Pelodiscus sinensis: one gene and its partners. Each later gene encodes a partner of the first gene's protein in a complex. Links are inferred from orthologs where the notes say so. Each region holds a gene or a part of one and is shown in the gene's direction. Other genes may lie near its edges.

Region 1 (7,671 bases):
GGGAAATCCGCGGGGGATTTAAATATCCCCCGCGGCATTTAAATAAAAATGTCCGCCGCTTTTTTCCGGCTTTTAAAAAAGCCGGAAAAGAGCGTCTACACTGGCCCCGATCCTCCGGAAAAAGTGCCCTTTTCCGGAGGATCGGGGCCAGTGTAGACGCTCTTTTCCGGCTTTTTTAAAAGCCGGAAAAAAGCGGCGGACATTTTTATTTAAATGCCGCGGGGGATATTTAAATCCCCCGCGGATTTCCCTACGACGACTGGTGAAATTTACATGCCCCTTCCGGAAAAGGGGCCAGTGTAGACGTAGCCTTAATGTTAACAAATCTCCGGGACCGGATGGCATTCATCCAAGGGTTCTAAAAGAACTCAAATGGGAAATTGCTGAGCTATAATCTGTGGTTTGTAACCTATCCTTTAAATCGGCTTCTGTACCTGATGACTGGAAGGTAGCCAACGTGACACCAATATTTAAAAAGGGCTCTAGAGGCGATCCTGGCAATTACAGACCGGTAAGTCTAACTTCAGTACCGGGCAAATTAGTAGAAACAATAGTAAAGAATAAAATTGTGAAGCATGTAGAAGAACATAATTTGTTGGACAAAAGTCAACATGGTTTCTGTAAAGGGAAATCCTGTTTTACTAATCTGTTAGAGTTCTTTGAAGGGGTTAACAAACATGCGGACAAGGGGGATCCAGTAGATATAGTATACTTGGATTTTCAGAAAGCCTTTGACAAGGTCCCTCCCCAAAGGCTCTTGTGTAAATTACATGGCCATGGGATAAGAGGGAAGGTCCTTTCTTGGATTGAGAACTGGTTAAAAGACAGGAAACAAAGGGTAGGAATAAATGGTAAATTTTCAGATTGGAGAGGGGTAACTAGTGGTGTACCCCAAGGGTCAGTCCTGGGACCAATCCTTTTCAACTTATTCATAAATGATCTGGAGAAAGGGTGAGGTAGTAAAGCAGTGAAGGTACGTCTACACTACAGCGCTAGTTCGAACTAACTTAGTTCGAATTAGTTAATTCGAACTAAGCTAATTCGAACTAACGCGTCTAGAACTAAAAACTAGTTCGAATTAGCGTTTTGCCAGGTACAGGGTCTGCTGGCTGGGTGCTGGCAGGCTTGCACCTGGCACGGGCACCGTAGCCAGCCCGTGCCCCTTTAAGGGGTCCGGGGCCGGGAGGGGGGCATAGAGTTTCCCTGGTGTTGGCCAGAGTGGCCACCAGGGAAACCTGGGGAGGGCTAGCCTCCCACTAGTTCGAATTAAGGGGCTACACACCCCTTAATTCGAACTAGCTAGTTCGAACTAGGCTTAATCCTCGTAAAATGAGGTTTACCTAGTTCGAACTAAGCGCTCCGCTAGTTCGATTCAAATTCGAACTAGCGGAGCGCTAGTGTAGCGCCTATTAAAGTTAGTTCGAACTAATGTCCGTTAGTTCGAACTAACTTTGTAGTGTAGACATACCCTGGGGTAGTAAAGTTTGCAGATGATACCAAACTGTTTAGGATAGTCAAGACAGAAGCAGACTGTGAGGGACTCCAAAAAGATCTCACCAAACTGAGTGATTGGGCAACAAAACGGCAAATGAAATTTAATGTGGATAAGTGTAAAGTAATGCACATCCGGAAAAATAACCCCAACTATATGTACAGTATGATGGGAACTAATTTGGCTACGACAAATCAGGAAAGAGACCTTGGAGTTATCGTGGACAGTTATCTGAGAACTTCCCCGCAGTGTGCAGCGGCGGTCAAAAAGGCAAATAGGATGCTAGGAATTATTAGGAAAGGGATAGAAAATAAGACCCAGAATGTCTTACTGCCCCTGTCTAAAACTATGGTACGCCCACATCTTAAATACTGTGTACAGATGTGGTCTCCTCACCTCAAAAAAGATATTTTGGCCTTGGAAAGGGTTCAGAAAAGGGCAACTAAAATGATTAGGGGTTTGGAACGGGTCCCATATGAGGAGAGGTTAAAGAGACTGGGACTTTTCAGTTTAGAAAAGAGGAGACTGAGGGGGGATATGATAGAAGTCTGTAAAATCATGAGTGGTGTGGAGAGGGCCGATAAAGAAAAGTTATTTATTAGTTCCCTAAATAGAAGAACTAGAGGACACCAAATGAAATTAATGGGGAGCAGGTTTAAAACTAATAAAAGAAAGTTCTTCTTCACACAGCGTGTAGTCAACCTGTGGAACTCCTTGCCAGAGGAGACTGTGAAGGCTAGGACTATAATAGAGTTTAAAGAGAAGCTAGATAATTTCATGGAGGTTAGGTCCATAAAAGGCTATTAGTCAGGGGATAAAATGGTGTCCTTGGCCTCTGTCTGTCAGAGGCTGGAGAGGGATGGCAGGAGACAAATCGCTTGATCATTGTCTTCGGTCCACCCTCTCTGGGGTACCTGGTGCTGGCCACTGTTGGCAGGCAGGATACTGGGCTAGATGGACCTTTGGTCTGACCCAGTACGGCCGTTCTTATGTTCTTATGCTATCAATGCCAATTCTCTTCCAGAATATGATGTGAGGAAGTGGGTCTGGCCCATGAAAGCTCATCACCTATTAAACCATCTTGTTAGTCTTTAAAGTGCTACATAGTTTTTCCTTTTGTTTTAGCAAGATCAGACTAACATGGCTACCCCACTATTACTATCAAATCCCCCTTCACTCTTCTCTTCTGCAGACTAAATAAGCCCAAATCCCTCAGCCTCTCCTTGTAGACCATGTGTTCCAGCCGCCTCCACAGGATCCTCTCTGGTACATCCACATCCTTTCTATAGTGAGGTTGGAAGGGGGGGCAGAACTGGACACAATACTCCGGATGTGGCCTCACCAATGCCAAATAAAGGGGAATAATCACTTCTCTAGATATGCTGGAAATGCTCCTCCTAATGCCGTGGTCACCAACAGGTTGATCACATCAATTGGTCAATCGCAAGGCCTGAACCAGTCAATCGTGAGGCAACCGGGCCTCACCCCCATTTTCCACCCACCCCCCGAGAAGCCCCAGTACTCACCTCCAGCGAAAATGGAGGTAGTGCCGGCTTCCCGCGGGTGGATGGAAGTCCCGCAGCTTAGTGCCACTTCCGGAAGTGCGCTGGCTGGTTTGCCAGGCGCGCTGTGGGAGGGGCCCTGGGTCCGGAAGAGGAGCACGGTGATTTCCCTGCACCGGCGCAGGAGGTGTGAGTTGTCCCCGGGGCAGGCGTGCGCAGGGTTTCCCTGCATCATGGGGAAAGGGGGGGGGAGTGTGTTTTGGCCCCAGGCCAGACGAACGTGGCACCCTGTTCCCTGCCCCAGAACCCACTAGCACCCCTCCCCAGTACTGTGTCCCCTGCTCCCGACTGACTTTTCTATGCTTCAGGGTCATGCTGGACACTGTCTCTGCCCTCACAGCATCATCATCTGCTACTCAGACCTGAAGCCTCTGCAACTGCCCTAAGGAATCCTCTCTTGCTCACTCACTCCCCTTCTCCCAATCAGACTCTGATGTAGGTACAGTACTGCACTTCTAGTCTTCTATTCCTGCTGATTCCATCTTCTCTCCTCCTGCTTTTCCCTCTTTATCCTTAACGAGCAACACTGCATGTGATGCCTCCCATCGACATCCTGCCCTCACCTAGCTCTTTCCCATCCACTTTCCTTTCCGTTTTTCAACAGACTAATCCTTTCTTACTTCAGCTTCAGTATTGACATCATGTCAAGCCCTTTAGCTGTCTATCTCCCCTCCCTCACCTCTTCATTCAACCTGCTAGTCTCCCACTCATGAAACAGCCACTCTTTTGTAGTGAAGCACTGGAATGGGTTATTTAGGGAAGTAGTGGAGTCTCCATCTCTAGAGGGCTGTGTCTAGACTGGCCAGTTTTTCTGAAAAATCAGCTGCTTTTCCGGAAAAACTTGCCAGCTGTCTACACTGGCCGCTTGAATTTCCACAAAAGCACTGACTTCCTACTGTAAGAAATCAGTGCTTCTTGCGGAAATACTATTCTGCTCCCGTTTAGGCAAAAGTTCCTTTTGCGCAAAGCTTTTGCACAAAAGGGCCAGTGTAGACAGCTCAGAGGGGGGAGGTGGGCGTGTGAGCGGGGACTGATTGTGAGCAGAGGGGGAGGTGGGTGTGTGAACATGAGTGATTGTGAGCAGAGATGGGCGTGTGAGTGGGGACTGATTGTGAGCAGAGGGGGAGGTGGGTATGTGAACATGAGTGATTGTGAGCAGAGGTGGGCGTGTAAGCAGGGAGTGATTGTGAGCAGAGGGGAGTAAGTAGGGGAAATGACTGTAAGCAGGGGTGATTATCAGCAGGGGGAGTGATTGTGAGCAGAGGGGGGAGGGGGAGTGATTGTGAGCAGGGGGAGTGATTGTGAGCAGAGGGAGGAGGGGGAATGATTGTGAGCAGGGGGAGTGATTGTGAGCAGAGGGGGGAGGGGGAATGATTGTGAGCAGGGGGAGTGATTGTGAGCAGAGGGGGGAGGGGGAATGATTGTGACTGTGAGCGTGGACTATGGAATAGACCCAGCCCACACCGGTCGGCCCACGTGGGGAACACGCGGCGGGGTGGACCCGCACGAGACGTTCTGGGGACCCCCCGCCAGTCGCTGGGCAGAGCAAACACCCCTTGTGACGTCACAGGAATCCAGGCGCCACCGGCCTCTGCACACGACACTCGTGGGAGCCAGGCAAGGGGACCTATCCCGCCGAGCCCCGCCCCTTCGTGGTGCTGCCGAAGGCCCCGCGCGCTTTCCAGTCCGCCGCAGTCTTTGCCGCAGAAAGGCGCAGGTAACTAACTCAGTGCCTGTAGGAACGATCCACCCAGGGGCTCGTGGGAGCGGGAGTGGGCCCGGCAGGAGCAGCTGGGAGGCGAGGCACAAAGGGATGGAGGGAGACGGGAGGGAGGCCACAGCAAGCCTCCCTCATGGGCCGCTCGGGCTCCGTACAGGCCACCTAAAGGCCCTTTGTCCTCGACGGGTCGGCTTGAGGGTCATACTGCGCCGGCGCAGAGGGACAGACGGGTCGGACTGAGGGACATACCACGCTGCTGCGCTCCGCACCGACCAAGGAGGGAGGGAAAGTCCGGACCAGAGACAAAGGGGGGAGCCGAGTCGGGAACATCCGGGTCACTCGCTGCCGCCTCAATCCGGGACACGCGCGGGTGCTGCGGCCGCTCACGGTGAGGCCTGGCCGGGCGCGGGCCGGAGGGCGGCGGGCCCGGGAGCGGGCCCTGGGGGCGTTCGGGCTCCGGCCCTTGCTCCCGAGCCGCCTTCGCTAGGCCCGGCGGCCTCGTCCGGCGCGGGGAGGCGGGAGCGGGGCTGCAGCCGGGCCCGAGCGCCGCGTACCTGGCCCCGCCTCGGCCTGTGCCCCGTGGTGCCCGGCGGCTGCTCCCCGCGGCCTGTGGGCAGCCTCGGCGACTGGCCCTGTTGGGCCCCGGGGCAGGGAGCGCGGCGCTGGCGGCGGTTGTCAGCGCGGCCCGAAGGCTGGGCTGCGAGGCACTCGGCTTGTGGCAGGCTCGTCACCGGGTAACCCTCGTGGCGGCTTTATGTAGGCAACGCCAGACACCCCCTTTTCTGCTCTCCTGCTTTTATCGCCCAGCCTTGTCCTGGCTGGGTCCCCTCTTTCGGCTGGGTCCGCTCTTCCTAGAAGCAGAAGCTTTTCACTCTTTGGACAAATTATTCATCCATGTGTTTTAGCACAGACGGAATCCTTAGCTTCTTAAAAGGGATGTGTAGTTGTATAAGGCTTGCTGTGTTAAGCACTTTAATACTACTATTGTGCTGTGGGCTAAGTAAGAATTGTTAAAGGTAACTAAGATGATCACCCTTTTGTTTTGCCTGTAACTGCTCCTATGAACCCTCATTTAGAGTATCGTATGCAAGTCTAATCACTGTGCCACAGGAAAGATGCTGCTTTGAATACATTGCCTCACAGGGAGACAAACAAGCTATTGGCACCAGATAAGCTGAGTAGCCAGGGAAATGGGTAATGGGCTATGTTGAGCAATTCATCTTTCAGACCTAGGGTTTATATTCAACCAAAGTAGTAAGTGACAGGTCTTACCTGTGGGTGTTGTTTTATATATCTTACTTGAAACATGTTTGGATATCTCAATTCCATTCCTAGTGGACAAATATCAGCATAACAAAAAATAATTGCAGTGATTGGTGCTCTGTGGCAAAGAACTGAATGGAATGTGTAGGCTGACCTTTCTTAAGTTTTTAAGTGGCCTTTGAAGGCCTATGCAGTCTTCATGACAGACAGTTCAGTTGCTTTCACTAGTAACCTTACCATGCTTAGAGAAAAATCAGACTCAGCAGAATTTATTTCCCATGGGAAAAGAGAAGACTCCAGACTTGCAAAGTGTGAGATGGAATTGTGAGAAACTCAAAAGCTAGTAACTGTAACTGGAAAATCAGTTATTTTAGGTAAAACTGCTAGTGTAAAGAAAACACACATGGAACAGATTACTCGGGAAAGCAGATGAAGCAGAGGAGAAATGAGTGACACCCCTTAGATTTATTTTTAGGAGTGTTGAGTGAAAAAGCAGGAAGGAGGTCAGATTAGGAGATGCTGGAGGGACTCTTGGTGCCTTAGTGTATATCAGAATGCTCAATCTGTTAATCTTCTGTGTCGAACACCAACAGTGATGCAATCTGAGTGATAAATGCTTGTAGGTCCTTTCATGGAGGGACATTCACTGGAGGTTAGACAGTCGCCTGCCTTGTTCTCCTACTGCACAGTCATAAGGGGGGGGGGATCTGCGTTAATAAGTGGCTCTTGGATAGTCCTGTAGCTCTGTCATAATTGCAGTCAGTGGGTGTAAAAGAGAGGGCAAGCTTTAAATACTTTGTTTTTTTATCTTTAAGGTAATTGAAACATGGGGTATTCCATGTAGCAGTTAGTCACCAGAAATCATAGTAGCTGCCAAAGGCCTGCCACAAACACGCATTTGATTTAATAGATTTTTAAATAACCTGAGGTAGAAAATGGCATGTTTCCTATTCATTTTTTTTTTTTAAACTTTTGCACTCTGAACTTCGAGTATTTCATAGGGAAGTTGCTAAGATCAAAATGAGAAGATGCCAGAGAATAAGGAAAATTAGATCTCTATTTGCTTGCGACAATTTCCTATGATGCAAATAATACCTTATACTTTTTTGGCACTTTCTGTCTGAGGATTTCAATGTGTTTTACAGTTAATTTTACATTCTTTCGTAACTCAGATTTTCAGAAGAATAAAGAGGCAGAGATGAAAATGAAATAGTCAATTTTAATTGCATTATAAATTTGTAACCTTTATTGCCTATAGTTTAAATTACTTAAACTGAATTTATTTTAAATCTTCAATTTTACTTTCTTTGTTTACAAATGCTTGTCCAAGAGGAAAGCAATATATGAAGTAAACATTGAAAATCAATTAAGTATCAAAACATTTAGCTGTTTTCCTTTAGCTGTTTTCCATGATGTGAGATGCATCTGAAGAAGTGGGTCTTTGCCCACAAAAGCTTATGCTCCAATAAATCTCTTAGTCTGTAAGGTGCCATAGGATTCCTCGTCACGTGGGGTGGTGGTTAGGGTACGTAAGCTGTGAACAATGTTGAGGAATATTTAAATCTGCTATTGGAATTTTAAAGAGTCAACATGGAAACATTCTCTTAGGCATATATTTTATGAATGCTTTACCC
Region 2 (7,774 bases), on another chromosome or scaffold:
AAAAGAACGTTTACATTGGCATGGATGCTCTTGCGCAAAAGCACATCTCTTGTGCAAAAGCACATGCCAGTGTAGATGCTCTCTTGCACAACTACTTTAACGCAAGAACTCTTGCGCTAAAGAGTTTTTGCACAAGATCATGCCAGTGTAGACATAGCCCTACAGGCATAGTCTGCCTCGGCTGGTGATTAACCATTCCCTTTCCAGCCATCAGGAGCTGCAGGGAACCATGCCTGCGAACGGTCATGGTAAACAAAATGTCTCCTGGTCAACCAACAGATTACCCTGAAGGGCCAAGTGCCAAAGTCTGCTGACCCCGATGTACAATAACAGAACTCAAAGAATCAGACACAATATAATAATTATAAATGTACAGTAAGCATCACAAATTTAATAGGTGCCTTAAGATGGTTATAGTCATGAGCATACATCAAGCACCCTACAGTTCCTAATGGCCTCCATAACATCAGGGCCAGGTGGAGAACAGTCCACACCACATCAGAGTGGCTGATTTTTAAAGTGTTCTTTCAAGGCCTCCCTCAGACTCATGGCTCTGCATTGAGCTCTTTTAAAGCCTTTACATTTGATGGTTCATAGGAATTGTACACAATAGTGCTGGTACAACTTAAGTCACTCAAGAGGTGTGAAAAAGCTACTTCTGAGCAAGTAAATTACACCAACCTAATGGACAGCACTATTGCTCTCCCGCTGACAGTTACTCTGGATTGGGGAGGAGGAGTAATTATGCTAACAGGGAGCTCCCTTCCACTGGCATAGACTAGCATTTGAACTAGCAATGCTATAGCAGTTGTTACCTCAATTCAGCTGCACTGTTGTAGTGATTCTAGTGTAGACTAGCCCTCAGATAGTGAGACACCCACCTCTGCTCTCCATTGTAGTGGCAACTTTTCCACCTATATTATTCAGAACAGGTAGCTATAACCCCGGGACATTTTTCTCACTGAGCTCCAATCTTGTGAGTAAACAGTCCCAGTGTCCCTTCAATCTGCCATAAAAACATTCACCTGCATCTGTCATTTTGCACTTACACTGAGCAGGTGGATCTTTTCTTGGAGCTGTTGATGTGTCCAGCACAAGGTTTCATAAGCCAGGGGACCAAGGGATAGTTGTGGATCACCCCAGTCACTGCTGGCATTTCTATGCAGAGGCTGGGAAAGAACATCCCTGCTTCCAGATTTCTGAACAGATGTGTTCCTAAAGTTGCAAAAATCATACACTTTTTCTGGCCAGCCAATAATGATATCACTGAAGTGTCTCCAGCAACCTACCAGTGCTTGCATTTCCCTGGAAAAATAACCTGTTCCGTAACAAGGGCTGATGCCAAAATGATTGTATGCATATCCCTAATTATCCCACTGCAGCTTGGGAACCCTGTTGCTACAATCTATCCAGTAGGTCTTGCACATTACCAGAAGTCACAGTCCTGCGTAGCAGGAGACAATTAATGGACCTTTATACCTGGAAAAGTCACAAAGGTGGTTTTTTTTTTTTTTTAAATAGACTTTCAGTATGTTTTCTAGAAAGAACGAAAACAGAGCTACGTTGGGATATAAAGGTAATTACTGGGTAAGCATGAGCTTTACTAGAATGCTTACTGGGTGCAGTGTGGAGCTGGCTACAGTCTGGTTGGGCCCACCGCATCACACCAGGAGCGGGGGAGCCTCATGAGGATTAATTGGTTAAACAGCATTTAACCAGTTAACTTTTTAAACAGTAAGTAATAGCCCTAGTTGGCAGTCAAAATTAAGTTTCCTTACAGATACACTTTAGCCAGTAGTACATAACTCCAGAGAATTCTCTATGCAGTGATGTTAAGTGTCACACTAATCCCTTCAAAGAACTTTTACTCTGTTACCTTCAATGATACAATCATCAGGGTGCAGTATTTACAAAGGGAATCAGTTACTTCATGTAAAAACAGGTTTTGTTGATGTTCTTAGGCTGCTTTTTATAATTTTTCTTCCTTGGAATGTCATCTTGTGTTTGTATTTAAAATTATCCCACCTTGAAAGCTTATGATACCATCTACATGTTTTGTTAGTCTTTAAAGTGCTACCAAACTATTAGTTGTTTTTTAAGTTTTTCATAATGTGATAATTAAGTTACTCATGATACCATATATCAGTTATAGTCTTAGGTGTCAATGTATGTTTCATCTGCCACCTTTAATAGAACTAATGTTTAAGTATTTTCCATGTGAAGTGAGGAATCTTGATTAAGTAGTTCTAAAGAATTTAGCAAGAGTATAACATACATTTTGCTTCATAGTAAACAAAGAACAAGAGCAGAATAGAAAGTACTGAACTTCAATAAGCATTGGTTGAGTTCTTCTCATTTTATTGACTAATTGGTTAAACATATTGCCCCCCTTCTTTCATCCACCAAAAGCAGGAGCTGCTCTAGCAGTCCCTTTCACCACCACAGCAGACTGCCTGCGGTGGACCATGGTACCCCACAGGGAGGGGCCGCTTTGGCATCTTGGTCAAAAGAGCCCCTGCCTGCAGGGCAACCTAGCTTGCCATGGAACTGCTCTGGCTGGGATGCTGGAGCAGCCCGACTGCAGCAGGCCAGAGCACCTCACAGGCAGTGACTGCTCCAGCATCCTAATCGGAACAGCTCCTGTCTGCAAAGGTACCAAGGCTCACCAAGGGCAGAGGCTGGTCCAGCAAGGATGCCAGAGTCTCTACCTGCGGCGGGCTCTCTGTGGGGTTGGAGCTGCTCCAGCCCCCACCAGCTTACCTTAACTGCGGTAAATCTCATCCATTAAGGTTGAGGCTTATGGGTTAACCAGTTAAACCTTCACCTCCCTAATGCATGTCACCAGAAGTATTATGTGCCACAGCTGTTTGTACATTAAAAGACTAATTGACCTACATTTTCAGAGGCAATTAGTGATTTGGGGATATCAGTTTAATCATCTTAAAGGAACTTGATTTTATGAGGGCAAACAGTGAAATGTCTTTTACAGAGTTTCAAGTTAGCCATCCCATCATCAATAGTTACTTGTGAAAATATATACAACTTGTATTTAGACACTTGTGTAGTTTTTACTCTTATTTGGATATATACTTTCTAAGCAGCATCTTCAACTCCTCTGAATCAAATCCACATCTATAGCTCTACCTTTCATAAAGTGCACCAAAATGACAAAGTATGTTACAACTGAAAGGCATCACTTTTATGTTGCTAAGGTTGCTTGCACAAGAAGTTATTTGGTGCTCAAATCGTGGTGATGGTGATGGTGATTCAAATACCACTTGAAAAATAAAACTGTTTTAGAATACATGTGGTAAAAATTTATACTTTTATAGGAAGATTAAATACTTTTTAAAGCACATTAAAAGATTCAAACTTCCTTTCTCCCATTAAGAATTAATAATATTTCATAACACAAACTCCTACCTACAGTATTTCCTCAGCAGCATTTGAATAGCCTTTACTACCTGGCATATTGATTCTGGGAACCGTATATCTTATGTAAATACTTACTTAAAATGAATTGTAAACAAACATTCACATATATGCTACTGCAAATCAGGAATGTGGGGTTCAGTGTTCCTAATTAGATAAGGTGACCATATTCCCTCCCCCCCCCCCCAAGGGAAAATGGCCACTGCATTAAGGACATGAAAGTTTAACTGGCCAGGCCTAGGCAGGGAGGGCCACTTCAGCCCAGCAAGGCTGGAGCAGTGCCCCACTCCCCTTTAATCAGTTAACACGTTAAACAAAGTTTAACAGGTTAGCCAATGAAATGGGATTTTACATCCCTACATGTCACAGGTGTGAGCCAAGGTTCCTTCCCATAGCTGCCCCAAGGCCTCTTTCCCTAATGTGCAGGATTGGCCTCAGTCCCTATGCCTTGCGCGTGTGGAACCGATTTCAGGCCACCCCCCACACCCCACCTGCATGTGGGGCAAGCCCAAGTCCCCTCCTCTATCCCCTGTGCATTCAGCCAGCCCAAGACTCTCAGCCACTTGGGGCCGGATTCAAACCCCACTTGCTCCTCCACCCCATTCTCCCTCCCACCTAACACTGTCCTGCTAGGGGTCGCAGCCCGAATTTTTGGCAAACCTGTGCCTTTGTCCAGTTTGCGCTTGTCCACTGACGCTCAGGAAAGGAGGAAACGGACAAATCTACAGAAAAAGTCGGGGCAGGGCATTAAAAAAAAAAAAGATTGCCCTGCCCCAGCGGCTCATATGGTCACTCTATAATTAGCCTGCGTTTCCCCCTCAATGCCTCCTCCCTCCCGACTCTTTGTCAGCGAACTGCTTCTTGAAGAGCGTCGCACTCCCCGCGTGGCCAGTTTCAGCCACCAGAGAGCAGGAGACGGCTGTCCCAACGCTCCCATTCAGAATCGAGCGCTAAGAGGCCATGGATTGCCTGCGCTGTGGGCCGCGGGCGAGGCTCTGTAGCCGCTGCCCTGCGCTGCACGGGGCGGCACCGCCCAGCCTCAAAGGGCTGCTGGGTCAACGGACTCTAAACGGCTGAGACACGCTACGGTGATGGGGCCGTAGACGTACGCGAGGAGAAGGGCGGGGAGGGGCTCCCTCTGAGACACACAGTGGGGTGCCCGGCCCTTCCGCCGCTGCCCTTGGAGCCAGCCACAGACGCGCCCACTAGCCCTGCTCGCTCCCAGCGAACGCGAAGACAGAAGCTCTTGCTCCTAATAGGCACCATCCGGCGACAGGGCCCTACGCGCGCCTAGGAATCTCGTGCCGGTCGCAGGCCAAGAAGACCCCCCCCTTCTCCCTCCCTCGCCCCGCGCTTTCTCGGGGCCTCACTACCCGCTCTACGCAACCGCGCGCCCTTCTCAACGCACCGTCGTAAAAGCTTCTCTCGAACGCCTACGTCATTCCAAGCGCCCAGCCAATCATCGGTGGGTAAAAACTGCGCCCGCGGGTCGGGAGTTGTGGGCGGGCATCGTTTTTGAGCGACAGCTAAGCGCGGCCAGTCAACGAGGGCTGCCGCGCCGCCACCTCCCCCCTCTGCGGGCAAATCGCTGCTAGAGAAGAGGCAGGGCCTCCTACCCACCCCCCCCTCTCGGCAGCGCACAGACGGACGGTCCTCTTGTCCAATGAGAGGCGAGGCCGCCTGCGCAGCGGCTGTGTTCGGAGCCAATGGGAGCAGCAGCTGGGCGGAGGCCTGAGGTTTCCAAACGCTTCGCGGCGCCATGGGCTGAAAACTAAACCGAGATGGAATCTCCCAGTCTGAACCGGTTTGAGCCGGTTCCGAGTCTGTGGCACTAGGAGGGGGAGAAACGCTGCGCTCACTCCCTGCCGCCGCTGCTGCCTCCGCCGCTGTGTGTGTGACCTGCTCACAGGGGAGCCCGCAGGGGGAGCCGCCGACACACCCGCCGGGGCAAAGTTTAGTGCGAGCGGGGGGGGAATGGGGGTGTACTGAGACCCGGCCAGATCAAGGGGAGAAGCAGGGGCCCGGGCAACCAGAGACTCAGCCAGAGGAGCCCGGGGCCTGGGGAGTGACAGACCCGGGGCCCACCAAAGCAGCGGGGCTGGGAAGCTCGGGACTCAAGGAGCCCCAGGAAAGCAGATAGCCGGGCCTGGGGAACCAGAGCCAAGCCGCCGGGAAGGGAGGGGCTCCATCCCCTGCGCTGGGCGGCCTAGGCCCGGGAGCAGGTAGTTGGGGGCCGAGTCCTTGTAGGGGGAGCCAGGGGCAGCAGGGAGCGAGTGAGCCTGGCCAGGGGTTAGCAGCAGCCCGCGCTGAGCGAGTCATACAAGCAGCCCAGTGCACGCTTGGCTTGGAGGCGGTGGGGGGGAGAAGGGTGACACCAATAAACGCTCAGTCGGGGAGAGGGCGCGCGCGTGTGATTTCTCCTCAATTTTTTTTTGGTGTGGTTGGAAACTTCACTCCCCCCGCCCGCATTTTTTAAAGGCCGAGGCTGTAATAACTATTTAGGTAAGTAACTCTTATGGGGTGAAAATCTTGGGGTGCGGGGTTGGATGTATTTGGGGGGGGGAAGTGGGAGGGTTAAAAGGGATTCTCAGCAGGAGGGTGGGTGTGTGGAGGGCAGAAAGTCGCGGGTAGGCAAGGCACAATGGGTGTAAGACTTAGGGCGGGAGACGCGTGGTCTTCGGGCTACAAACATCAGACGTGTCGGCTTTGCAATTGACTAGAGAGCAAATTCTACCACTGATGCTATGGGTGTGGGGAAAGAAGGAGCGTGGTGTGGGGAGGTTGCTGTGAAGGCTTGTGGGGGTGGGGTAGATGGTGGTCATTTTGTGCTTTTGATTATATGTGAAGTGTGGGGCTGGAGCCAGTGTTGGGAACTCGAGAAATTAGGGGCATAATCTGTAAATTATTAGGAGTGGAAGTTTCCAGAAATATTTTTGTGTGTCTGTGCAGCAGTATTGAAACGTCCGCCTGGATCACGTGGGGTGGCCCTGTATACAACGCAGGGACCGAGAGGAGGGAGGGGCTGCAGTGTCCCTACTGCTCTCCGCAAAGAAACCTAACAAACCTCCTTCTGTTCCTAAACCCGGATCTCTTTCTCCCTCCCGTCCGACAGATACTTTAGTAATGACTGTCAGAAAAACTGATTGGCGCGTAGTTGTGTGTTTTTAATAGTATAACGTTCCGTGTACTGCAGTATTCTGACTGGTTTGCAAGGGAAGTCAGTTAAGGCCTTTACACAGAGTAGGTGTGCATCTGTATGTTCACATGCAGTATTTGTGTACATCAGATATCTTGTTGATAACAATTCGAATGTATTTGCATTTATTTGGATATATATTCTTTAATGTGACAAGTCTGCTGCTTAGGAAAGAAATGTAGCTGAAGTTCTGCTACCTATTATTGCTATACACACACATACGGGGAAAGGAAACAAGCTCTTTCATTAGTGTGTGGAACTGCGGCATTAACTTTAATATAAATGCCCACTAAATTTTATATGTCTAAATTGATGTATAATGCATGTGCTGTGCAGGTCTAATCGTGCTTAGGCTGTGGGAATAGGAAAAAAAGGAAACTTTAAATTGCCTGATATAAATAATCCTGATAGCTTTAAAGAGTGTGGTGGGATGCCGATTTTTACTTCCATTGTAGTTAGAAGTGGAGCTGTTCACTAGCTGAGTTGGGCGGGGTTAACTGTATGTTTCGGGTGGCTACTTCTATACTTAAATGAATCGTGCTGCTGCTGCCCCCGCACAGCCTGAAGTAGTTGTTGAGTTGTATTTGACCTAGAGTTTAATTTGAATGTTTTTAAGCTTTTTTTTTTTACTTTGTTGTGTGGATGTTCTAATTCACTGAGCACAGCTCATTTTAAAATTGCTGTTCTGATGTGTTTATGGAATGGTAATCGGTATGCTCGTTATAAGCATTTTTGCACTTCATGCACAAGGCCACTGTAACCTCAGGTAGCTCTGTAAACAAGTCTCCATTCTTCTGGGTTTTGGCAAGTGTAAGATCCTTCCCTTATTTATTAATTGTGATACTATTTAGTTTTCATTTTTCAGTTTTATACACTAGCAGTTGGAAGCAGTTTTAGGTGCAAGCTGAGGTATGGATCGGGGTGAGTGTCTGTCTAGCAGATCACATACAATACTATAGGCTTGATCTGGGCACATTATTAGGAATAGGCAATCAAGTTAATCGCAGTTGGCATTGACCACAAAGCCGCCATTTTTATATTTCAATTCACCAATAGGTAAGTCATTTTGGAGATAATGCTGGGAGTGGCAAAGCACTCTATTAGAAGTGTTTCCTTTCTGCTTTCATGCGGCTAATAACTTTTAGT
Region 3 (6,982 bases), on another chromosome or scaffold:
TCTAAACACCAAGGATCTTTTTTGTTGAGCAAACAAACAAACAAAAAAATCGGGAGGAAAAAGAGTTGGGGGGGGAGGGGAGTTATTGAGGGCCTTGGAGTTCCTCATTAAAAAAAATATTCTTTGGTGTTCCTTGATCTTAAAAACATCCTTTAAGGGTGGCCATTTTGAATTCAGTTGTTCACCGTGGCACACCAGTGCGCCGTAGAACACAGTTTAAGAAATACTGGTTTAGATTGAAAGTTCTGGATAGGTACTGACTTTTACTATCTATAGTACAGAATGATGGTTTGGTTCACTAGGTGCCAATGTGATACAACCAGTAATATTTTGAATTAATGGTCTTAGTATTTTGTTGATGCTTTCACTATATTGATTTAAAGGCAACATTTTAAATAAGGAGATAATTCTATGAAAAGAGAAGGTCTCTGCTCAGATAATTCAGCAGCACTAAATTTAGCAGGCCCGTATGCAGAGGGGTGCAAAGAAAGCACTCTCCCATGGTTCTCCAAATAAGCAGGCTCTGGCTGGCCAGGAAAAGGCAGGAGCAGCGTGCCTCCCTTCCCTGTGCTCTGGCCTGCAGCGGAAGGCTGAGGCTGATTTTCCCGCTTACTTGGGGGACCATAGGGTGTGTGTGTGTGCATTCACACCCTTGTGGTCCACATTTACACCCTACCCCACCCCACCCCGAAATTCCTGCGTATGGCCTATATAGTGGGGGCAATTAGAAAAGCATTCAATGACACTAGTTGACTGCTTCACATCGGATGTTAGAGCAGTTTTGGATTCCGGATGTACTTGCTCTCTTAGGGTATGTCTATACTACACCTTTTTCCGCTTTGTTTTTTCAGAAGTGACTTTTCCGAAAATTTCTGAAAATTGGGCCAAATTTCAGAAAACTCCCCTCTTTCAGAAGATCTCTTCTTCCTTGTAGAATGAGGAAGACAGGGCTTCTGAAAAAGCGCATCTGCTCTTCCGCAAAAAAAAGCGGAAGAGCAAACATGTTCTCTGGAAGCGTCAGAGTATTTTCAGGATACCTCTGGAAAAACCCCCGCAGTCTAGACGTACCATGAGGCAAAAGTGCCAGGGGCCCTGCAGTACAGGAGGCCCCTGACTTGTGACTGCCCAAGTTCTGACCCCCTGCTCCCCTCGCACTTATAACCATTTTTGTAAGCGTGGATGGGGCCGAAACCCCCCAACTTACGTTCTCGGCCTGCATTTACGACAGCACATGGCACCTATCGTAAATGTGGGTTCTGTCAGTCCCCGCAATACATGAGGTTCGAAGGGATGCCGGAAAGAATGAGACCACGACTGGGGGTTTGAAAAAATAAAAACTGATTTTATTTTGATGAGGACTCTGGCGCCTAATGACTGTAAACTTAGTCACATGCGCGGTCGCCAGACAATCATCAGAATTAAAAACAAACAAATCATCAAACAATATAAAACAATTCCCTGAGGCTTTTTTAAATCATAATAATTCTCAATAACTGCCCAGGGGTTAGAAACAGTCGAATTCACACTGGTGTTGTTCATAAGTCTAACTATTTACACTATATTACACAAAGAACAGTTAAAGACCTTAACAACCACTATTAAAAGAACTAACACAATAACTCTTGAACTACTATTACTAGACAGGCAACGGGGGTAACTCAAAAATCAATTGGGATAGGAATAATTGTGGGGGAGAGGGGTTATACCGATACTGAAGACAGCAGGAACACGAGTACCAGCCACATGCTCCCAAACTGTCTCCACTCAGGTCGACCAACTCGAAGTACGCTCAAACAAACTCAAGAGCGGGGGGTGCAAGGCAACTGGGTGATCAGGCCAGGCGTTGACACGATGCAATCCCCAGTCAGAGGGGGTTTGCCTGCCTGTTTTATTGCCTATGGACTTATCACCCCATAGGTTGGTTTTTGCCGCAGTGGGTGGAGTGAGCAGGCCTGACCACAAGTCAGCCCATTGGCTGATCTTTCACTGCAGTGGGTGGAGCAAGCAGGGGAAGATCAGTAATTTACATGCCCTTATATGGGAAGCGCTCCGCCTCACAGACAGAGCCCCCTATACCAGCCTTAGATGTATGACAGGCTATGGCTCTCCTGCGACGGGCAGCCAATGTTGATGTTCTGTCTCGGACAGGTTCAAGTTATGACGCCCCCGACTTGCAATGCTTGCCCTGGAACCAATCGCGTCACAAGGTGGGGGCCTCCTGTATTATTCCCCCTACTGGAAATTTAACTATAGGTTGTGAAACTGGATAACACTATAATCCCCTGCTTTGACTATTTTTATTAGTGCTTAGTACCAAGTGATCCATTTCAAGGCCTGTCTTGCTAGCTCTGTTAACTGTCTGACACCGCTTCTGTTAAGGTTGAAAGGAGTTTGTCCAAGGCCAACACCAAGGATGTGGAACAGCTGAAGGAGAAAATCAACTCACCCAACATTAGATACTAATGGTACATTTACACTGGAACACTGTTTCGAAATAACTAGCACTATTCCAAAATAACGTAGTTTGCATCTACATTGCAGGCAGTTATTTTGAAATAGTGTCAAAATACTGTTAAGCTGGAGGCCTTCTTACTCCGATTCTTGTAACCCTCCCTATACAAGGAATTAGGGTTGCTAGGTGTCCAGTTTTTGCCTGTACAGACCAGTATTTGTGGCCCCTCTCCAGTAAAAAACAACAGCAGAAAATATGTCCGGTATTTTCTGTTGTTTGGGGTTTTTTTTATGGAAGGCCGGCAGGGACATTCTTCCTCTGCTGCATCTGGTGGGGGTCAGGGGAGTGAGGAGCAAGGGGATTTTTAAAGGCTCAGTGACCTTTCTTTTTTTTTTCTTTTTTGCTTAGCAACTTTGGTTCCCCGTTTTTTGCTTTGCTCAATCAATATTTTTCCTGCCATGTTAGGGATTTTTTTTGTGAAAGTATCTGCCAGCTCTACAAGGAGTAAAGAAAGTGGGAGGAAGAGTGCTCTATTTTGAAATAAGTGCTGTATAGATGCTCCTTATTTTGAAATAAGTTACAGAATTGACATAGCTCAATATGGCTACATCTAGACTGCAAGCCTCTTTCGAAAAAGTGAGCCGCTTTTTCAAAAGAGAGCACCCAGGCAGTCTGGATGCTCTGTATCGAAAAAGCCCTGTTTGCATTCAAGAACGCCTTTTTTCGAAAGAACACTTTCAAAAAAAGGCATTCTTCCTCGTGAAATGAGGATTTAATTTTGAAAGAACGCGGCTGTAGTCTAGATGCAAGTGAAGTTTTTTTGAAAAAAGGCTACTGTGTCTAGACTGACCAGTTTTTCTGGAAAAACAGCTGCTTTTCCTGAAAAACTTGCCAGCTGTCTACACTAGCTGCTTGAATTTCCACAAAAGCACTGACTTTCTACTGTAAGAAATCAGTGCTTCTTGCTGAAATACTATTCTGCTCCCATTCAGGCAAAATTCCCTTTTGCGCAAAGCTTTTACGTAAAAGGGCCTGTGTGGCCAGCTCAGATTTGTTTTCCGCAAAAAAAGCCCCGATCGCAAAAATGGCGATCGGGGCTTTTTTGCGGAACAGTGCGTCTAGATTGGCACGGATGCTTTTCTGCAAAAAGTGCTTTTGCAGAAAAGCGTCCGTGCCAATCTAGATGTTCTTTTCCGAAAATGCTTTTAACGGAAAACTTTTCCGTTAAAAGCATTTCCAGAAAATCATGCCAATCTAGACGCAGCCAGCCTGTGTGTAGCTTATTTCGAGATAAGCCATGCAGTGTAAACGCACCCTGACTCCGGGAGTGGCGCTGCTACAGGCAACTGTTGGGTGCTGCTGGCTGCCGGATTCACGGAGCAGCTCAGCTGCGAGGGGAGCCGGCCAAGGCCTGTGGCTCACGGTGCCCAGAGTGGGGTTAACCCACAGGGCTTGTCCCAAAGAAGGGCCAAGGAGGGGGCAGGGCGGCCAGGGAGCCTGTTGCCTTGGAAGCCCCCCGCGGGCGCTGGGAGCCAGGGCGGAAGGGGAAGCGAAGCGGCCTGTGCCCGGCGGCGCAGCGCTCGGTAGCGGCCGGCGCGCGCCATGTCGGCGGAGGCCCTGGAAGAGCTCTCGGCCCTGAGGGCTATTTACTGCCAGCCGGACGAGTGCGCGGTGCTGGCGGCCTCAGGTGACTGTCGCGGTGGCTGTAGCCGCCGCCCGCCCGCGCTTATCTCCGATCGCCTCCCTGCAGAGATGCCCCGTGGCCCAAGGCCGAGCAGCCAGTAGCCCCTGCCCACTAGGCAGCGCTTCCTCGGCTGAGTCCGCCCCCCCCCCGGCACACCTGGCGCGTGAGCGCTTGGACCGGTCTGCGGAGGTTTCCATGAGTTGCCGCGGCGGGTGGTGAGCGGGTCAGTGAAGGTGCATGGGGCAAAGGCGGCGAGTGTCTGATCTAGTCCGTATTTGGCGCGGCGCCGCCTCCTTTCCCCCCCGGGCCTAGGGAGACTTGTCAAGTGCCCTGAATTCACGGGTCCCATGCTGGTCTTGTGGATGCATTGCCGGACAACTTGGGCGTTTTCTTCCCTGGAAAATTGGCACCTTGTTCCTTTTAACTCCCTGCTGTTCTGTGGTTTACAAAGTCAGCCATACTGGGTCGGACCTGTGGGCCCTCTACCCCAGTATCCTGACGTCTGCCTGTGGCTGGCACCAGGTGCTTCAATGAACTGAAAAAAAAAAAAAAGAACGGAATAGTTGCAAAGTGATCCATCTTCTGGCAAGTAGAGGGTCAGGACACCCAGAGCTTGGGTTGTGTTCTTGGCAGTGTTGGCTAACTGCCATTGTTGGAAAAACTTAAAAAACCAACAAATAGACTAGTAGCACATCTGTCCTCTGGTAACTTTTTTATTTCTTTTTAAAAACTCAGTTATGTTTTGCCTTTATCCCTTAGAAATTAATTCCACAGCTTGACTGTGTTGTGTAAAGACATACTTCTGAATGATTTAAACCTGCTGCCTATTAATTTAATTGAATGATCCCTGATTCCTGCTTTGTGACAGCATGAAACACTTCCTTATTTACTTAATCCATACCATTCATGAGTTTATAAACCTCTATCATACCCTCTTTTTGCTGTGTCTTCTAGGCTGAACAATCCCAATCTTTTTAATCTCTTCTCAACAGGATGCTGTTCTATATCCCTTAATGATTTTCCCAACATTGTTGGTTTTTTTTATTGGATGTAGTATTCGTTTAATATTGAATGAATTTTCTCTGCAGATCTGTGCTGTCAGGGCAATAGACTGGATGATCTAAGAGGTCTCTAATATCTATGAAAATTAAAAACTTTTTCAATAATGTATGCTCACAGTAAGCACTACCTTTGCATCTTGCCTGCCTCCCAGCATCTGCCTGTGAGCTGAGCTAAGCATTCTTTTCTGCTGCCCACCGCCTCTTGAAGAACTTAAACTCCTCTGTGGTACTTTACTGAAGTTTGCTCTTAGACTACTAAACAGTGGTAATGCACATTAAATATGCTTCCAATTTGCTGGAGAAACTCTTAGCCTCTCTGGTCAGTAGCATTATAAAAATGCTTCACAATCAGAATTTGCATCCTATAGCAAATTCTGACAGCATTATCTATTTTTGCATGCTTTCCCATCACAAAAATTGTGATAGTAAGTAACTCCTTTAATCTCTTACCTTTTATTAGTGGTAGCAAAGATGTCTCTTACCTGTCAGTTTCCCACCATGTATCTTCACAGTTTGCATCTTTGGCACTGGGTAAATCCTAATGGGTATCACTCTCCTGTCACAATTTGCTATCTCCTCCAGTTCCCGGCATTGACACTGCATTCAGCAAATAATACTAGGTGAATGACACAATCGGAAGTTGTTACCTGCCAGTAGAAAAATGTAACTAACCTGATAAGCAGTTATGCTTCCGATAAGTAGAAAGGCTTGGAGGCCACATAGGGTTGTATAATGTTTAGTAGGCAGTAGTTGTCAGTACACACCTGCAGCCTGAATCTCAGTCACTCCTGTCCGGCGCTTGGTGCAGGAATCAAATGTGGCTTTCTGCATGTTTGTGTTCTAGAGATGCAAAATTTTGATTAATTGGCTAATCAAATAGTTGATGCAATTTACATCAACCATTTGATTAGTCGATAAGGGTACCTTTGCCTTTGAAGTGTAGTAACAGCTCTGTGGTTGTTGCTACACTTCAAAGGCAAAAGCGCAGTGAGGAGCACAGGGCCAGCGGGGGTCTCAAGTAGTCCTCCACTCGCCCATGCTCCCTGCGGTATTTCAAAGCTGCAGCACTGCATGGAGCCCTGGGTAAGCGGGGGAGTCCCCAGCTGACCCTAGGCTCCACATGGTGCAACCGTTTTGAAGCACCATTGCTCTTTGCCCCCCCTTGCTGCCTCTTTCTGATAGAGGCAGCAAGTGTGTGTGGGTGGGGAATCAACTAGTTGACTAGCTTATCAGATAGTTGACTAGTCATTCACATCCTTGTTGTGTTCCCTGTATTCTTGAACTGTATGAGGCCTGTTTAGTGTAATTTATACCATTCTCAGGACTTCTGTCATTTATGCTCTGCTTCCCAGAGCAGCCTATGGGTTCTGGGGAAGCAGAGGATAGTCATGGTGTGAGGCATTCGGGTCAGGCCCCCTAATATGTTGGAGGCTGGGAGCAGAGTGAATGTAGAACCATTACATTAGTTCTGTTAAACCAGCCAAGGTGGCCCCTTCGTATAGGATATTCTTAGGGGGCCATTTTTACCCAAGTGAAGATCCCTTTATGCTGTTGGAGTCATCTAAAGGAGCCTACACTAAAGTTACAATCAGAGTTGCAGGACCCAGTTTAAAAAAGACTATAGCTTTATCCCCAGACCATAATCAAGTCTTAGGGTGTATCTACAAGCATACTGGGACTGAAATAACTTAATCATTTTTAATTCATGCCTTTGTTATCTTGGTACAAGTTTCTATAAGAAGAGCTCTATGTAGCTTGAATGCTTATTTCTTCCACCAACAGAAG
Region 4 (7,343 bases), on another chromosome or scaffold:
TGTAAGCAGACTTATCCATATTGCCTTCTATAGGGATTCTTCCTCTTGCCACAGAAACAGCACATACTTGCAGCTGTTAGACAGGATACTTAACTATATATCCACTGCTTGAACGTAGTATGGAAATTCATAGCATCTTTTGCACAGCTGCCCTTGCTTATACCCACATTGGACATCTATTTCTAGGTCCATAACACTGGGTCTCCATAAACATCTGAAAATGTAGTCTGTATCTTTCATGTTAGGTTTACAATTCAGTGGTTGCACAATATACAGTATTGCATAAAACAAAATTTTCCTCAGTAGTCAGAAGTTCTCTTTTTGTTTTCCTGTACGGTTGTTTCCTTCACTTCAGCCTTTTACTTTCATGTCTCTTTCACATAAATATTAACTTTATGTGCAGTGACTGGTCCTCTGTTTTTCAAAACCCAAATCTCAGCTTAAGCAAATTCATCTGTACTGTTAACTTGTCACGGTTTTAAAAAAAATCAGAAGTCTTCTGAATTTGTTTTACTTCCTGCATGATGGCACCCAATTACAAAGTTGGATACTGCTAACAAATATAGTTGTATGTATCATTAAAAAATAGATTCAGGGATACATCTACATTTATTGATTTGCTATATCATTTATCAGCTTAGAGCTTTTTTTAATATTCAGCAAACATACTGAAAAAGCATCATTTTGCTGCTTATACCACGTCAATATGGTATGCTACACATACTCTTTGAAATCTCTTCCACTAAATATATTTCCTTTATCATTTTTAGGAACAAATTTGTTGAATTTGATATGAAGCCTGTCTGCAAGAAATGCTATGAGAAGTTTCCTCTGGAGTTGAAGAAAAGATTGAAGAAACTAGCTGAAACTTTAGGGAGGAAGTAAAGCCTCCTTCTAATCTCCTGTTCCTGGAAAAAAATTAGAAAATATTACAGATATTACTTGACTTTCATTTTATTTTTCTTTGAGGCTGCAATCTGCGATACACAAGCAAAGAAAATTAGTTTCCTTGATGCATGACTAGCTTCATACTAAAGTACTTTCCTCTTTTCTCTCTCAAAACATGCATCTAAAAACCCTCTCTACATTTTATATAACTTGTAACTAACAAAAGCAAAATATATCTTCAGTTCTGTATTGGATATATACATTTATACATATCTGTTGATCTGTATATTGTACTTGCATATTAAACTGCAAATACAAATTCATTGTAAACTCTTTTACGGCTCTGGTCCTGCAGTTGAATCTGCTTTATAGCCACATATTTCAGTGAGATTCTGTGGAGACCTAAGATCTGCTTGTGCATTTCCTGCAATGACTTCACAAATAAACCTTGCTTTCTGTACACAAAGAGTGCCATTGAAGTTAAGGGTAATACTTGTGCATAGAATTCAGCATGTAATCTTTAAATGATGTAGCATCACTTTTTATGGAACTATTCATTTTTAGATTCAGATCCAAGTAATCATTATGAAGCCTTATTTTAAATGCCTCTGAAGTCAAACTTCTAAGTGCAACCACTGCAAAAGTGTAGTGCCTTTAATAGATAAATATTACATAATTAATTTTTGTATATTAGATTTTAAAGTTGTAATGGAAATATAGAAAATATATTCCTGTTGCAAGAAATATCCATATTCAGAACTACCGGAATTTTGTTATGTTCCATTTAAAATAATCCAGTAATATGAGTGTATTTGTATTTTACTTACATTTTGTGCCTTATTTTTCTGTACCTTTCACAACAGTATTCAAAAAAGGATGCATTAAATATATATACAGTTTTATTTTTATTTTATATTCTTATGCAGAAAATGTATACCAGGTATTATAAAACATAATATGCTTTAACTACTTCACTTCTATAGGATGTATGACGTTTGTTTTCTTTAAATATTGAGAACACTTGAATTTTAAAAAATACATTGTTGTTTCTTGGCTGAATTAATTTTTTAATAGTACCTACAATAATTCACTCTCACGTCATACATCAGTGAGTGTGTGTATAAATGGTCTATGCTAGAAGGTGCTGAGCACCTACAATTGAGCACCTAAAATGTCAGCCTTGAAGGACTGGGTCCAAATTGATGAGAATTCACTATAACATGCTTCTAAGTCTTATATTATTCATTAATAGTCATAAAGAATCTAGGGCTTTTCCCCCTTTCTTTATAAAGGTGCAGTAGTATGGCAAATTAATAAAACATTTTTTTTCATTTAATATAGCAGCCTACATAGATTGTATAGGTTATGCTTTACAAACTACAGTTTCATTTCATATCTTTTAAGAAAATATATCTCTTGGTTTAAAAGCTAAGCTTTCCCACTGTGATCAATAAAGACTACACAATTATAACCTGTTTGACTTGTTCTTAAAGGGATGTTTGGTGGTGAGGGACCCTGTATTTGTTCTCTTTACACAGAATACAGTCCAGTTTCTGTTGTATTATGGAACTGTCAGAAGTGACTCCATAGTTTAGGGTGTATTTCCCTTACTGTACTTTTCGCTCAACACAGATCCTACTTTAATTTAGGCTTTAAATGTGTCGATACAATTCAGTGGATAACTGAATTGTAAAGGAAATGTTCAGAATAAAATACCTGCTAACTTTTCCTAGACAAAAACATTTAAAATAACCCAGTTTTGAAATTTACCTCTGTCACACTCCCTCTACCCCCATACAACACAGACAACCACTCATCACACATTTTCACATTAGTACATAGGTCGTGTTTAATACATTACAATTATGCAGAATAAGTTTATCTTCCTTACTTGTTATAACAAACACTAGAAGAGACCAAGGAACTTCAGAGAGCCCAAATAAAGCTAGTGAATTGCTAGCACGATCCCATGTGAATTTCACTGAGGACAAATGCAAAGCAATGAACATTGAAAAATATGATAAAGCCATACACTTAATGAGTTCTATCAGGAAAAAAGTCTAAGGACACTTGTGTGGCAGCAGTGCTGTGTAACTGTTATATGTACATAACTTACTCTTACTTGCAATTTAGTTCTAGTCAGTTTTTAACCTGCTAAGATCTACCGATCAATTACAATGGGTTGCATGTGGGTTGCTTAGTGACAGCACCAGACCTGTCAGTCACTGGCTGCTGAAGAATGCCCCTTTCCTTTAAGTTCCATCTTGTTTTATTTACTCCTGCCCTCAGGATCCTGTTAACATTTAACTGGTTAAACTGATTAAGCAGGATTTTACATTCCTACCCTGGACATACTCGGTAGTTGAGGAAGAATTAAAAGCACAGTTTTGCTGATCAGGGTGCTATACAGAATGAAACATTGTGACACAGTTTCTGAAGTAGCTTCAATTCATGATAAACACATAATAATGGTTCCAGGTAGTCCATCAGTAGGCTTGTTCTGAGGCTTAATCCTACTAGATATAAATTCTAATATCAGAAGAGTATTAACTGAAGATGATCAGTGTAATACAACACATGCCATCACAGAAATAAAAAATGATTAGGAAAGCTGATCTGCACAAACATGCTTTTGAGACACAAAGTTCATGAGCGCTACCCTGTACTCTTAGGGTGCAGAAGGGGGAGAGGGTGGGAAGTAGGGTGCACAGACAGGCTGGGGGTAGGGTCTCCGGCCAGAAGGGAGGATGCAGGAGGGGACTTGGGGCAGGGTGTCTGGCCAGGAGGGAGGGTAGAGGAGAGGCTGGCAGCAGTGTTTGGGAGCCCTCACCTCTGAGTTCATGTATTGAGTGTAATGGGGGCGAAGGTAGGGCGGTGACAGAAAGGCGCAGCGCTGGGCGGGGAAGAGGGGTGTTATGTGCACGACCCCCGCCCTACAGCCTCCCTGCCCGGGCGTCTGTCCACCTGGTTTTACAAACCTCCCATGGAGCCGCCACGCCCCCCCTGCACAGTCCGACTGTCCTCAATGCTCAACGTTTCCCCGCCCGCACCCGCCTTGCGGCAGCGAGCCCCGTTCCCGCCCCGCGTCCTGCCCTCAGCGGCCACGGGCGCCCCGCGCGGACCTGCCCCGCAACCTGAGGTGCCAGGTTGTCCTTCCGTGCGCGCGCAGCCGGCCCGCCCTCCGCTAGTTGTGATTGGCTCGCGGCCCAGGGGCTGCGACGGAGCAAGGAACGCGCCGGGAAGCCCCGACCCCAGGCGGAAAAAGGGACTGAATCAGACTGCCGAGTTGGGGAGGGCAGCTCAGCCGACATACGTCATTTCCGCTTCCGCAAGGGAGGACGACGCACACGCACCGCCGCGTTACGCACCTTGAGGAGGCGCGCGAACGTACCTAGACTTTCCTCCCCACCCCCCCCCACCAGCCAAGCTCAGTCTCCCGTCTGCCCGGCGCGGCGCGAGCCGGGGTGGCGGGGCTCGAGGCGGCGTTTCGGTTTCGCTTAGTCGGCGCGCGCCGCGGCCATGAGGCGCAGCAAGGCCGAGGTGGAGCGGTACATCGCCTCCGTGCAGGCCGCCGCCCCCTCCCCCAGAGAGGTGAGTGGGGCCGCCCGCTCCCCAGTCTCCGCCCGCCTGCGGGGCCGCGGGCGCGGCGGTTTGTTCGCCCAGAGCGCGGGGGGCGCGTGCTGGTGCCCGTTGGCGAGCGGGGGCTGGTCTCGGCCGGAGCGGCCGCGTGTCCTGGCCCCTTCCCCGCGGGGCCCCGCAGAGCAGCTTCCCGCCCGCTCCGGGGAGGCGAGTCACGGGCCCGCAGGCGTTCAACGTCCCTGCCCCGGCAGCCGGGCTGGCCTCGTTCCGCGTGGGCGGGGCCGGCTGCTAACCCGGGCGGGCCCTGACCTGGCCGGGGGGCGGAGGGATCCGCGGCCAGAGCTGTCCTGCGCCGGAGGTTTGCCTGGGGGCGGGGCTGGAGCCAAGGCTGGGAGGCGCTTGTAGCAGCCGGGGTTCCTGAGTCTTGTACTAACGGGAAGGAACTTGAGCTGTCGTTGGCTGGGGGCGTTTCTTTCAGCCTTCAGAGGTGGGGAACCTTTTTTGGGTCCGGGGCTGCTGACCCACAGGAAAATCAGTCAGGGGCCATGCGCAAGTGAAGGGAAAAAACCCCAATCATCACTGATGTGAAACCCTACCTCCTCCCCCCAGTTGAGAAGGAGAAAGACACTCCCTGCATTCCCCTCCCACACCGTAGCTAGTGGAGCCCAGGCTAGTAGGTTTTATGTGCTGTGGGCCAGCAGGAAGGTTGGGGGGTGGCTGGAGTGTCCGTCTGGGCTCCCTAATGCTGGGGGGGGGGGAGTCCTGATCCTGGGGGCCAAGTCCAGGCAAGCCATCCCTCCTTTACACCTTCCCCCATGGTCATGATGAGTTGAGGAACAGCAGTGGGATAGTGCAGGAAAGTTTGGCCTGATACTTCTGCTAAGCAAAGGATTTAAGTCAACAAAGAAATGGTGCATAATTGATGTGTGTGATAAACATTGGTATTGCTTTTTTTAAAAAGAGCATGATATCTAGTTTTCAGAGTTACTAATTTATGGGATAGTAATTTGTGGACTCATTCTTTTTTTCATGAAACTTCAATCATGTTTTCATAAAAAGTGGCTGAGTTACTTCCTTGCTTGTTGATGGGTATGCATGGCAAGTACCACAACTGTTTACATGGAGTTAGCTAAGAAGGTATCCTGGAATGCAGTTCAGCAATGAAAATTATTACTAGTTTTATGTTACCAACTATTTCTCTGCAAATCTCAGAAGACACTCTCTAGATTGTCAGCTGTCCAATCAACAAATCTACCAAATTTAACAGTTACACCTATGAGGTTTTTTTTGTTACCATGAACAAAACTTTTTAAAATGTTTTATCCTGTTCACTGTGTGGAAGACCCACACAAACAGGGGATGCTGATTTTTACATGGGTAATGCATCTAACTGTACAGTCAAGTTCACAAAATAAGTAATGGAAAATAGTTACATAAAATTCTTTTTGTCCTGTATTGTAAAATTAAGAAGGGACAACAATTAACTCTCCTTTTGAAATTGTAAAGAAATGTGACTCACCAGACCTTTACAAATTTCCAGACACATTTGTTCAATAATATAATATTTATGAAAGATTAAAAACTAAATATGTCTTATTAAAGGATAAAAAATGCATGCTTTTGTTCAAAAATATCTTTGTGCTGTAACACTGGGAGGCTAAACTTCCTCTTTTCTGGATGATTTGAGAAAGCTGAGGAGTTACATGGATTTCCTTCCTAGATCTTCGTTCGCGAAGCCAAACCATGATGATGGGTGATGACTTGTTAATTCAGTGGTTCTCCAGCTTTCCTCAGGTTGTTCGTTGGTGGCTAGCAGAGTTCTGGCTGATAATGTACCTTTTTTTTTTTTTTTTTTTTCTTGTTACCAGTTCTTAAATTGCATTGAAGAGACTCAACATATTTTTAGTTGTCTGTTGTCGTGCACTCTCATGGGCAATTGCTGTAGCTGACACGGGTATTTTCTAGTTGTGAACATAGGAAGTGATACATAATACAATTGTTTTATGAAGAGGCGGTGTTAAAATGTAAATATTCCAGAGCTCATGTCAGTATTTCAGTTACTTGGACTTCTACTAGAAATATGATAGGATCTTTGATTGGTTTTGTTAGCATAGTTAAATATGTTCTTGGAAGGAAAAGTACTTGGCCCTTTACAGTTGGTGCCCTTGCTAGAGGCTTGTCAGTAAGCTGATGGCTGGACCAAATTTGCATGTAAAAGTCCAAATCTTCATAATATCTAAAACATCTATTTCTATGTCTGACTTCCTTGATAGAGCAGTTACTATAGTTTCCTCACCATGTAGATACTTTATCATTTGAGCACATACGTTGTTTGGTCTATGCTCCAAGGAGCTTCGTCAAACAAAGACACAGTTAATCCAAGGACAAACTGAAGTCCCAAATTGCAAAAAGGGTTAAGATTTTGGATTAAATATCCTTTTAAACAAAGATTGACATCTTTTGTAGATTTTTTTTTTTTTTTTTCCACTGTGACTGTGGCCCACCATTTGATTTTTGGCTGTTATGTTCTGAACCATTCTCCTATGGTGTCTTAAAGATAAAAAGGGTTGTATGGTTACTTTGTTTTTGCTAGAGCCAAGTAAAATTAAGTTCATAGCAAAATATACAAATTGAAACTTAGCTGTGTCAATAAACATTTGGTTTATTTTATCAGTCTTTGCTGGGGATGTGAAGAACTAGTGGACAAGCAAATACTTATCGGGTAATCAACAGGCTAGTTGATTAATCCCTCTCCCCCCACTGCCTCTATCAGAAAAAGGCAGCAAGGGGGAGGAATAAAAAGGGGGTACTTCAAAGTGATAGCTGGGGTTTCCCCAGGCTGCACACTGCATTTCAAAGCAGCAGTACTCTGTGTA

Evidence for each region.
Region 2: the proteins of UBE2I (region 1) and XPO1 are in contact, whole or in part, in a cryo-EM structure (PDB 9B62), measured with the Homo sapiens proteins. The link is inferred for Pelodiscus sinensis from reciprocal best matches to the Homo sapiens genes UBE2I and XPO1. Residues at the interface, in NP_003336.1 of Homo sapiens: Ile125, Gln126, Tyr134, Cys138, Gln139, Asn140, Val142; in NP_003391.1 of Homo sapiens: Gln207, Gln210, Glu243, Thr244, Lys245, Tyr279, Gln282.
Region 3: the proteins of UBE2I (region 1) and RWDD3 are in contact, whole or in part, in a crystal structure (PDB 4Y1L), measured with the Homo sapiens proteins. The link is inferred for Pelodiscus sinensis from reciprocal best matches to the Homo sapiens genes UBE2I and RWDD3. Residues at the interface, in NP_003336.1 of Homo sapiens: Leu6, Ser7, Ala10, Gln11, Arg13, Lys14, Arg17, Lys30, Gly34, Thr35, Met36, Leu38; in NP_056300.3 of Homo sapiens: Glu3, Pro4, Glu7, Ser10, Val11, Ala13, Ala14, Ile15, Cys17, Pro98, His101, Glu102, Leu105.
Region 4: the proteins of UBE2I (region 1) and E3 SUMO-protein ligase RanBP2 are in contact, whole or in part, in a crystal structure (PDB 3UIO), measured with the Homo sapiens proteins. The link is inferred for Pelodiscus sinensis from reciprocal best matches to the Homo sapiens genes UBE2I and RANBP2. Residues at the interface, in NP_003336.1 of Homo sapiens: Ile4, Ser7, Arg8, Gln11, Glu12, Arg13, Lys14, Ala15, Arg17, Lys18, Phe22, Gly23, Val25, Val27, Lys30, Met36, Glu42, Cys43, Ala44, Pro46, Gly47, Lys48, Lys49, Trp53, Glu54, Gly55, Gly56, Leu57, Lys59, Pro69; in NP_006258.3 of Homo sapiens: Leu2651, Lys2652, Leu2653, Pro2654, Phe2657, Phe2658, Tyr2660, Tyr2666, Val2667, Glu2669, Glu2671, Glu2672, Asp2673, Asp2674, Glu2675, Asp2676, Phe2677, Ala2680, Val2681, Leu2684, Gly2686, Lys2687, Leu2688, Tyr2689, Leu2690.

What each region holds. Positions count from the first base shown.
Region 1 is NC_134726.1:41,417,424-41,425,094, forward strand, and holds the start of UBE2I (SUMO-conjugating enzyme UBC9), read left to right. Parts: upstream 1-4,660; 5' UTR 4,661-4,771; intron 4,772-4,978; exon of another isoform or gene 4,979-5,162; intron 5,163-7,671. UniProt on the Homo sapiens protein: Accepts the ubiquitin-like proteins SUMO1, SUMO2, SUMO3, SUMO4 and SUMO1P1/SUMO5 from the UBLE1A-UBLE1B E1 complex and catalyzes their covalent attachment to other proteins with the help of an E3 ligase such as RANBP2, CBX4 and ZNF451.
Region 2 is NC_134713.1:180,629,458-180,637,231, reverse strand, and holds the start of XPO1 (exportin-1), read left to right. Parts: upstream 1-4,763; 5' UTR 4,764-4,897; intron 4,898-5,159; exon of another isoform or gene 5,160-5,934; intron 5,935-7,774. UniProt on the Homo sapiens protein: Mediates the nuclear export of cellular proteins (cargos) bearing a leucine-rich nuclear export signal (NES) and of RNAs.
Region 3 is NC_134719.1:36,236,193-36,243,174, forward strand, and holds the start of RWDD3 (RWD domain-containing protein 3), read left to right. Parts: upstream 1-3,978; 5' UTR 3,979-4,054; coding exon 4,055-4,139; intron 4,140-6,982. UniProt on the Homo sapiens protein: Enhancer of SUMO conjugation.
Region 4 is NC_134711.1:235,356,304-235,363,646, forward strand, and holds the start of E3 SUMO-protein ligase RanBP2, read left to right. Parts: upstream 1-4,340; 5' UTR 4,341-4,407; coding exon 4,408-4,479; intron 4,480-7,343. UniProt on the Homo sapiens protein: E3 SUMO-protein ligase which facilitates SUMO1 and SUMO2 conjugation by UBE2I. Involved in transport factor (Ran-GTP, karyopherin)-mediated protein import via the F-G repeat-containing domain which acts as a docking site for substrates.